2 linked regions of the Nothobranchius furzeri genome follow. The main gene of each other region encodes a partner of the protein of the gene in region 2 in a complex. Links are inferred from orthologs where the notes say so. Each region holds a gene or a part of one and is shown on either strand. Other genes may lie near its edges.

The links.
Region 1: the proteins of atp2b1a (region 2) and nptnb are in contact, whole or in part, in a cryo-EM structure (PDB 6A69), measured with the Homo sapiens proteins. The link is inferred for Nothobranchius furzeri from reciprocal best matches to the Homo sapiens genes ATP2B1 and NPTN. Residues at the interface, in NP_001353449.1 of Homo sapiens: Phe954, Asp955, Ile956, Asp957, Glu996, Arg997, Asn998, Val999, Glu1039, Gln1040, Leu1042, Trp1043, Ile1045, Phe1046, Met1049, Gly1050, Leu1052, Leu1053, Gln1056; in NP_036560.1 of Homo sapiens: Arg245, Ser246, Asn248, Arg332, Arg334, Pro339, Pro342, Phe343, Gly345, Ile346, Glu349, Ile350, Ile352, Leu353, Ile356, Ile357, Tyr360.

What each region holds. Positions count from the first base shown.
Region 1 is NC_091749.1:73,904,422-73,908,779, forward strand, and holds the start of nptnb (neuroplastin b), read right to left. Parts: upstream 2,919-4,358; 5' UTR 2,306-2,918; coding exon 2,230-2,305; intron 1-2,229. UniProt on the Homo sapiens protein: Probable homophilic and heterophilic cell adhesion molecule involved in long term potentiation at hippocampal excitatory synapses through activation of p38MAPK. May also regulate neurite outgrowth by activating the FGFR1 signaling pathway.
Region 2 is NC_091741.1:46,471,568-46,475,895, reverse strand, and holds the end of atp2b1a (plasma membrane calcium-transporting ATPase 1), read right to left. Parts: intron 4,190-4,328; coding exon 4,073-4,189; coding exon of another isoform or gene 4,009-4,072; intron 1,758-4,008; coding exon 1,347-1,757; 3' UTR 643-1,346; downstream 1-642. UniProt on the Homo sapiens protein: Catalyzes the hydrolysis of ATP coupled with the transport of calcium from the cytoplasm to the extracellular space thereby maintaining intracellular calcium homeostasis.

The sequences.
Region 1 (4,358 bases), on a different chromosome or scaffold from region 2:
AGCAGACAGAAACCGTTGCAAAAGGCAGAATTGGTCCAAAGTTTGGGAGCAGGAGTTAAACTACGGGCAGATTAGCTAATGCTAAGCTAGCGTGTAGCATGCTCACGATCAGGCGGAGGTCAGAAAAAACGTGACGGTTGTGAACGACTAAACTCTACGTTTATGTGTGGATGGCAGCGGCGGCGTGGAGCAGAACCGCTGAGTCAGGTCGTTGCTGCTGAGAGTCAGCGACTCGAGTCTGCTCCACACACCGCAGCGGGGCTATGGCTAGCCGTTGTAGCATGTAATTCACAAACACTTCTGTATGTGAATGCAACTTAGACTGGATTATGTTGCCAACCCGTACGTAACGAAATAGATGCCACATTACATGGTTACTGCAGAAATTACACGTTAGCATTTCCAGTAGCTTACTGCTGAACATGTTAATGAAGTAATTCAATTCTACTGATCATGTTTGATTTTATTTACATATGTTTAGACAAGGATGAATGATATTAAACCAAATATTTAAACGGAAGATAAGTCAAAGTTATTTATTATAAACATCAGCTGGGAAAGAAGGAACCCGACGACACCAATTTATTATATTGTTGAACCTTTTATAATTGTGTTGTTTTATTTTATATTTTTAGCAGCAGACCATAATCTTCTTTCACTTGAAACGCCGTCAAATAGAATATTCAGTGAATCGATGGAGGTTTGGATAAAATATTCACATACTAAAATATTCAAAGCCCTAGCGAATAAAAGGTCTGGCCACAACCCATAGAGAGCAGTTGTGGGGCGGGGCCTGCGGTTGTCTTTTAAACCGCCTTTGCATGCTATAAAATAAAGGACTTAAGTTCCTCCATCTGCTCTTGACTCGAAGAAAAGCCCAAGTCTAAATATGGATGCCAAAGCCCTTTCACACAGGTCAACGCCATCTTTGTTGTTTTGCGCCGTCTCATTACCCACCCACCAAAGCCACAGAGCGCTGTGATTGGTGTAACACAAAACTGCTCAGACCAATGGTAGACCTGCCGAGGCTCCTGTGGAGCGTGGCTAGACCGACCTGCAGAGCTAAATCTTTGCTCCGGCTCGTCAGAAACAATCGTGGATTTAACGGAGAGCTCAGCGAGTTCGGATGTACTTTTTGGTGAGACCCAAACACGGAGCACGACTGTTGGGACACGCAGCCAATCTAGTAACACCCATGTGTCTCTCGATGGGAAACGAGAACGTAAGCATCACCGCATTAACGAAGAAATGGCTTTCCTGTCGGCGGTGAGGCTCGTAACTCTTGACATGGATTGGATGAATCGATGACTGAGTGCTGTGTGCTGACTTTCGTATAAAGAGGACGTGGAGCTACGGAGCACGCTTGGGGGATGATGGGAGGTGGAGTAGCTAACACGGCGACTGTCTGTCTACATCTCTAGTATTGGAGATCTCTGCGTAAATCGTAGCATTCGTAGCATTGCTTGCTTCCAGTTTGTGAGTAAAGCAGAGTGTCGCATCTAAAACAGTCCGCGTAGAAACCTTCTCTATGGTCCATCTTTCTGAGAACGTGACGGGTCTATTCATCTGCTTTCATCACATTCAAATCCACCATTATTTATATCGTTATATCGCCCGTAGAGTAAAGCTGTCTCTAAAGGCCAAATCCACGTCGGTGTTTAATATGTGGGCAGAACTTTGATTATTAGATCGTCCAGGAAACCAAAAAGCATTTCCCAGAATCTTTTTGGACATCATGAACGGTTCCTGATTGGTGCAGCTGCGGCGGGTGGTGTGATTCAACAGTCAGAAGGAGACAGCACGCCCGAACACCCAGCAGCAAGTAGGCGGCATTTCCTTAAAGCAAACCATGATGGTTCTGCTGGGATTTCATTGATGGTGAACTTTGGATATTCATGGTGACATTTTTCTGACCAAATGGGAGAAATAGCTGCTCAGATATAAGAAAATGCACAAGTATAACCACAACAATCATTTATAAGCCGAACAGACAAACAATCAACAGGATCAACAGTCTAAATATATCATTAACAACAAACCTGAAGAATTGCCCATGCAGTTAGCTCACTCCCTTCCAGAAGCGCCACACTTCACTAATTTATGTGTGAAAAAGTGACAATAAGCTGTACCTGGCCTCGGGATGAGGCACCTGCATGCTCACAACACCTCACTCACACAAGACAAGCCTCCTCCCCTCGGTGCCACGTTAACGGTCACACCTGTCCTTACCGTTCTGACTGGAGACGAGAGGCAGCATCGGGTTCCCCAGGAGGACCACCGCCAGCATCACGGCGGTAGGATGCATCGTTAGGGTACCGGGAGGTCTCGGGCGGACAAATGTGGGAGGAGATGTCGTGTTGCTATTAATCACAGGAGCTACAAAGATGGGCCCAGCATAGCACCGGGGTCTTACAATCACTCGGCTGATGAGGAGACCCTAGCGGGGCAGCAGCGGGTGGAAGGTCCGGGACCAGGCCAGCGGCTTCAGGGAAGCCGATGCGCGGCCATCGGCGGTGGAGAAGCCTCGTCGGGACTTACGCAGACGGTGTCTTTGGATGTCAGGGAGATCGTCCACGGCGAGGTTCCGAAGACTCAAAGATGCGCACGCCGATGCGCATTTGCGCCTCCACGGTCACGGCTCGGTGATTAAAATGAAAGTAGCGCACAAATGATTCCCAGACGTCAAGAGATGGAGCCCAAACATGAGTTCGGTATCGGCACCGGACCGGACCGGTCTTTTTTTAATGCCACGGGATGAACAGATGCCAGGGAACCAACGGCAGGCTGCGCGTGCCCAGTGCGCTCACGACGCCGGATGGAAACACACACACACACACACACACACACACACGTGAACTCGTTGTTGCTTTTGTTTATCAAACATTTTCGGTTTATCCATAAAAATCCCAAATGTGACGTCATTTTAATGTGTTGTCGTCACATCTGGATCCACAAATGTTTTACACGCTGCAGAAAAGCCCAAATAAACGGATGAATCCATTAATAATTGGCTAATAAAAAGTGAATTTCTCACAAGTGTGCTTTCCTCTTCTAACTAAAGTGACGTTGTACGGACGCTCAGTGATGTCATTTATAAATGATGTCATCAGTGGCCTTCTCAAACTGCATATTCCATCCCATAAAAGTTCAACATGGCCTCCTGTAGTCCTCTGTCTCTGTCCTGCGCCGCTGCACGAGCGCCCTCATGTGGTCAGTTGAGGTAAACCGATAACTTCCAGCGCGTGACTTGTCCCATTTATCAGGTGACCAGTTTGATTAAATAACACTAATCACTTTATTATTTAACTATCTATAACTTGTATTATGGCTGAACTTTGCAGATCATTAAGTCAAGAATATCTGATCAGTCGTTTTTGGTGCGAATGTGAAACTGCAGGTCAGTTTTTGAGTTTGAAGTGTTCTCCTGAGGTGCACGTCTGCTCCATGCGTGTTTTTCTGCAGAGGACATGCCAGCGCTCAGCTGTAGAACAAACTTCCCTCCACTTCGCAAGCCCTTCCTCCAGTTTATCTGTGGGAGCGCACGTTTAAAATGTAACCCCACCTGAATCCTCCCAAACACCAATCAGCTAGAGAAAGGTCAGCGCAGTCGGCACACCCCCCCTTTGTTCAGGACCAATCAGAGTGGAAGTGTGGCATTTGGCCTGCGGGTAAAACTTACCCCTGGATGAGTTATGTACGCATCACTAAGCTGTTGCCAATGTGTTCCCAACGGTGGACCCTCTTTTACCACGGGTGCCTTCATTCTCCAGTCAGTAGTATGGAAAGTAGACAACAATGGCTCACCAGGCTGAAAAATGAACTTAGCAACAGTCCGCTGGTGTCCAATGTGGCTTTTGGCTTTATCCTCATGGGACTAGAGAAGCTTGTGGAGCTGGAGTTTGAGTGTCCTTGCAGCCCTACATGGAACGGAGTGTTTTCATCCGCGTTCTTCATCATTCCTGCCGTCATGGCCTTCACCTTGATGCTGATCATTCAAGGATGTAGATGCAACACCTGGAGCAGGAAAAGCGTGTCCCTCTCCAGTTTCGTTCCTGCTGTCGTCTGGCTGATCTTGCTGTTCCTCGATGGCCAGTACTTTGCTTGTGCTATGACAGACTGGGAGGGAAGGTTTGTGCTCGTTGACAAGGCAGCTCCGCAGAAGTGGTGCGAGCCAATTAGGGAGGAAGATGTCACCCCGCAAGAACTAATGCTCCGCTCACAGCAGCTGTTTGTGTTTTCTCAGGTGAGGGGATTTCTCTCTGGTCTGCAGGACAACAGCTCCACTTTTAAATGAGTCAAAGGGACAAACCACAGCTGCCAAAATACATCATGGATCCAAAATGGGCCTTCTGTTGTCT
Region 2 (4,328 bases):
AAAACTAAACCAATTCAGAGGCTGAGCAGCTCACAGCAGCACCAGTTCCAACTCAAGTGATATAAAAACTTTTTCTTTAGCTTTAAAATCAGAAGTTGTTTGTTTTGCTGCTTTAATCGGCCACTTCTGAGTGTAACTGATAACTACAAAAACACATTTTCACTTTGAGGTTCCACAAATCTAAAAGGAGAACCTCTTCTGGATGAAAGCAACAGTGGGAGGTTTCATAAAAAGGACCCCGTGTCTACTTGAGGTAAAAATTTGTTTCCTCCCCAACTTTCAGCTGGATTCTAAGTGAGATGCTTGCTAAGTACAGGCCCAGGTATTTTCTAAAGTCCCTTTTAAAAATAAACCTTTCAACATGTGGAAATTCTTGAACACATCGTAATGAATCAAAAGAGAATCTAGAAGTTCAGAAGGTTTTTTGTGCACATAACTATTGAACAAATGGAAGTAGTAATTATTTATAGCAATGTTAGTGGACAGAGGTCATTAATGTCTTTCCCGCTCTGTCTCCTGTGAAAACTCATCGTCCCTTGGACCTCTTTTCTATACAAGCCTTTGTGTTCATCAGTTTGGCTAGACGGTTCTATATTTATCTACAAATATATATATATATATAACAAATAAAACTTGCAGGCAAAAATATTTAAGTTTCAATAGAAACACCCTTTTTTTTCCTGAAAATACAGCAGTATCTGAAATAGCTCACGCATTCATTTATATTCTGTCCCAGGTTTCTGCATTATACATCAGGAAGCTCTTTTGCCTACCAACAGAAAAAAAGTATCTACAAACTTTGTAAACAGACCTGCTTTTTTTTCTCCAAAAAACATAAATAACTCAAAATATTAACAGCCAATGGAGCAGAAATAAGTTTTGAATGAGCAAGGGCCAAAGAGCTAAATATACAACACCATTCAGATAAGAGAAGCTAAAAGGTTCTTTCATGTTCTTACAGACGGCCCTCGTGCACGGAGGACTTCCATCTCGATTCAAACAGCAATAATATTAGAGTACTGAAAACAGGTCACTTTCAATCTGAGTTTATAATCTCCCCTTTGTAACACAGAAAATGCAAATGTTACCAAGGAGGGAGGGGTGAAGACCGAGTCTTTGTGTTGCAGCAGGGTATTAATGAGAAAAACAAAAACCAAAGCATCCGCACCAAGCCGTACATTCCTCTGAATGTCTGCTGTTATTTCAGTCCAGCTCATGCTAAGCTCTTACAGGACTCTGCTCTCAGTCTAGCCCTTCGTCTCGTCTCTCCAAGTGTTCGTTTAGTCCGAGCGGAGCTCCTTGGTGGCAGGTAGAAAAGAGGTGCTGACAGGGAGAGCAGGGCTGGATCAAAGGGAGGTCTCCAGGCTGTGTAGCGGGCTCCCTGGGGCTGAAGGGGTTCCTGATTTGGGGCACTCTGGAAGGAGGTGGTTGCTGCTCTCCACAGCATTATTGTTCTGGTTTGGGGAGGGAGAGACCGGTGTGCTGGGGACAGCGGTGGTGATGGGTGAGGGCGACGGTGAGGGCGAGGGCGTGGGTGAAGGGGGAGTGGGCGTTGCGTTACGAGGGCTGGCAGAATTGCGCTTGGTGGGAGCGTCGTCCTCTGCATCTGTGTCATCTATGAGGGGAATCTGGGGCTCAGAGTCCTCTATCCGGAACTCGGGGTGGGTCATGAAGTTGTGAATTGATGATCTCGACTCGGGTTTCTCCAGCCCCTCATAGAGGGAGATGGAGCTGCGGAATGCTTTCACCACCCGGATCTGGAGGGAAGGAGGGAGACAGGATGCCGTTATTCACATTGGGTAATGACACACACTTCCAAGTTAGAACCCAGGTCGTGCCGCAGAGGCTTCATTAGTTCAATTCCAGGTAAGGTTTAGGGGCTTCAAAGCCAACAACCAGGAGGATATTCTCAAACACGTGCAAGTGAGCGTTTATTCTAGAACATCTTTAAGCCGTGAGACAAGTGATCTGGAGTTGGGACGTCCCTACCCATACGAACGGTTAGCGAACATATTAGCACAGAACTGATTTCTGTTTTCATTTTCTGTCTCTGGGACAAAGCCGAAACGAGCGGATGAAAACTATACCTACTTATATAACAAACATTACCCCCTTTAAAGACCAGAAACTCAGTATCACTCAGGCAAAAAAACAAGCTAAGGACCAAGCCGCTAGTTCAAATCACAAAATAGTTCAACAAAGAACTCTGAGCTACAGAAAAGTTGATTTGGGAGATTTAGAAGTAGTAACGACTCAGAAACTAGAATCTAACAGCAGAGAACGAACCGGTGACAAATGTGGTCGTTTGTGGTTTTAAACACTTGCTAGAGGACTAATCAAACTACAAAATAGGATTAAGATGGAAGAGGACAGCAGTTCTCTAACCTAGCCGTAGAAAGGGGGCAGCAGCTGGACAAAAGTCTACCTTTGTAGGACATGCTAAGTAGAGAGCAAAGAGTGAGACAGCAGCAGAGATCAGGAAGACAGAAAGAGACAGGAGAAAGACAGAAAAGAAAAAGAGAGGAGGGGGGTGGGGGTCTGTTACAGCTCATGTTTGTGGAGGAGAAACAAAGATGCTGCAGCAGCCAAGCATGTCTACAAGCTCGTATACAAGTGGAAAACAGCACAGAGAGAAGAACTCACAAACAAGACCAGAGACTTAGAACCCATGCAGAGCGTGGTGCTACCTTTAGTTCAACAGTAGTAAACCTTTGAGTATAGCCCATGACACATTTCATACAACCTGAACAGGAGTGTGTGCATTTTCATCATTCTGTTTCCCTTCGGTTGTTAATTTAGCAACAGGATGCAACATGGACCCACACTGCCAACAAAAAACAGGTATTCCCATAAAGGAAGACATGTTTAAAGAGCCCCTGAGAGGAAACTGGTGGTTCAATAGGGAGGTAACCGTTGATCTGAGGGGGTCCACCTTAAAACAGAAACTCAAACATTATTCAGACAAGACACTTTGAAATATGCCAGAAAAAAAACAACCTTCTGTAAGCTATTAAAGAAATGAGTTATGTTTAAATATTCAAATGGGGAATCGTTGGTTCCATAAAGCTGCTTTTATTGCATCTGAGACATTTCTGATCTACTGCTGGTGAGGCGGTCGCTCTGGTTGGGTCTGAAAAGGAAAAAGTAGTAAGAACAGACTCCTTATTCTTCTGAGGGTACATAAAGGGTGTGTGTGTGTGTTGGGGGGGTAGCAGCAGCAGCCCTTGGAAATGCCACAAATGATCCAGATCCACTTTCCACACTGAAGGCCTTGAAGCTTGAAAAAGGTTGGAGGAATTTGTGAAAGTCCATGAAAACCTGCATCTAAACATGGCAGCAAACTGTAACCCGGCAACAGCAGCTTGTTGTTGCCACTGGGCGCTGGTAGAGAGGTCCATCCAAAGACACAACACGCACATTTTGTTTGACAGTAAACTGCCACATTTGGAAAGAAAGAGGTCTTTATCTCACCATGGACACTTGTCCCGAGTAATCTGCATAGTTTAGGCCGTGATCATGGGCGTATACTCAAAACATTTACCCCACCAGGGACTAGAGAGCTGCGACAAAGACCCACGAGTGCTACAAAGGCACAGAGCAGACTGAGGCAGCTGCAGACAAACCTGGTAAACGTCAATACAGAATAAAATGTTTATCAGATAGAAAAACACACATCACCCCCCACCCCTACAAAGTTTCCATTACTTAGACCGATGCAGAAGCAGAACAGAAAACACGACGACACAAATAAAACACCTCGACAACTGAAGCAACCTGGTTACAGGGGGACATTTATGTATAATACAGCAGTTATAAAAGCAGTATGGAAGATGTGGTTTTGGTGGTTTATTTTTAATTTTTTTTTTAAGAAAACAAGGGGGAGGGACATTAGGGGAGGCATGAGAGTGCAAAAGTTGAACATTAGGCGAGAAAAAGAGTGGAAGAGAAAGATGTTAGAGGAAGGAACAAAAAAAAAGTCTCATGCACTAAAGGAGAACACGCACTCACACCCCACAGTGGAAGAAGCGCTGTTGGCAGCAGTGGCAGTAGTGGTAGTAGTAGTAAAGGCTACATGTGTAGGGCTAGAAACATTGGTTACATCGTGCTGTTGTTGGCTGGAGTTGGAGGCCTGCCGCCTTAGGGCCCCCTGAAAGGAAGTTCCACTCTGGAACGCACTCACTACATCCATCTGCAAAGAATCAGACAGCATGACAGGAGAGAAGCCCAGAGGAAATAAAACACAGCCAGAGGAGAGAGAAAAGAGAAAAAATAAATATAGAAAAGGCACCAGTAACCATAGAGAAAATGTCACTTTGAAATTGGACTAA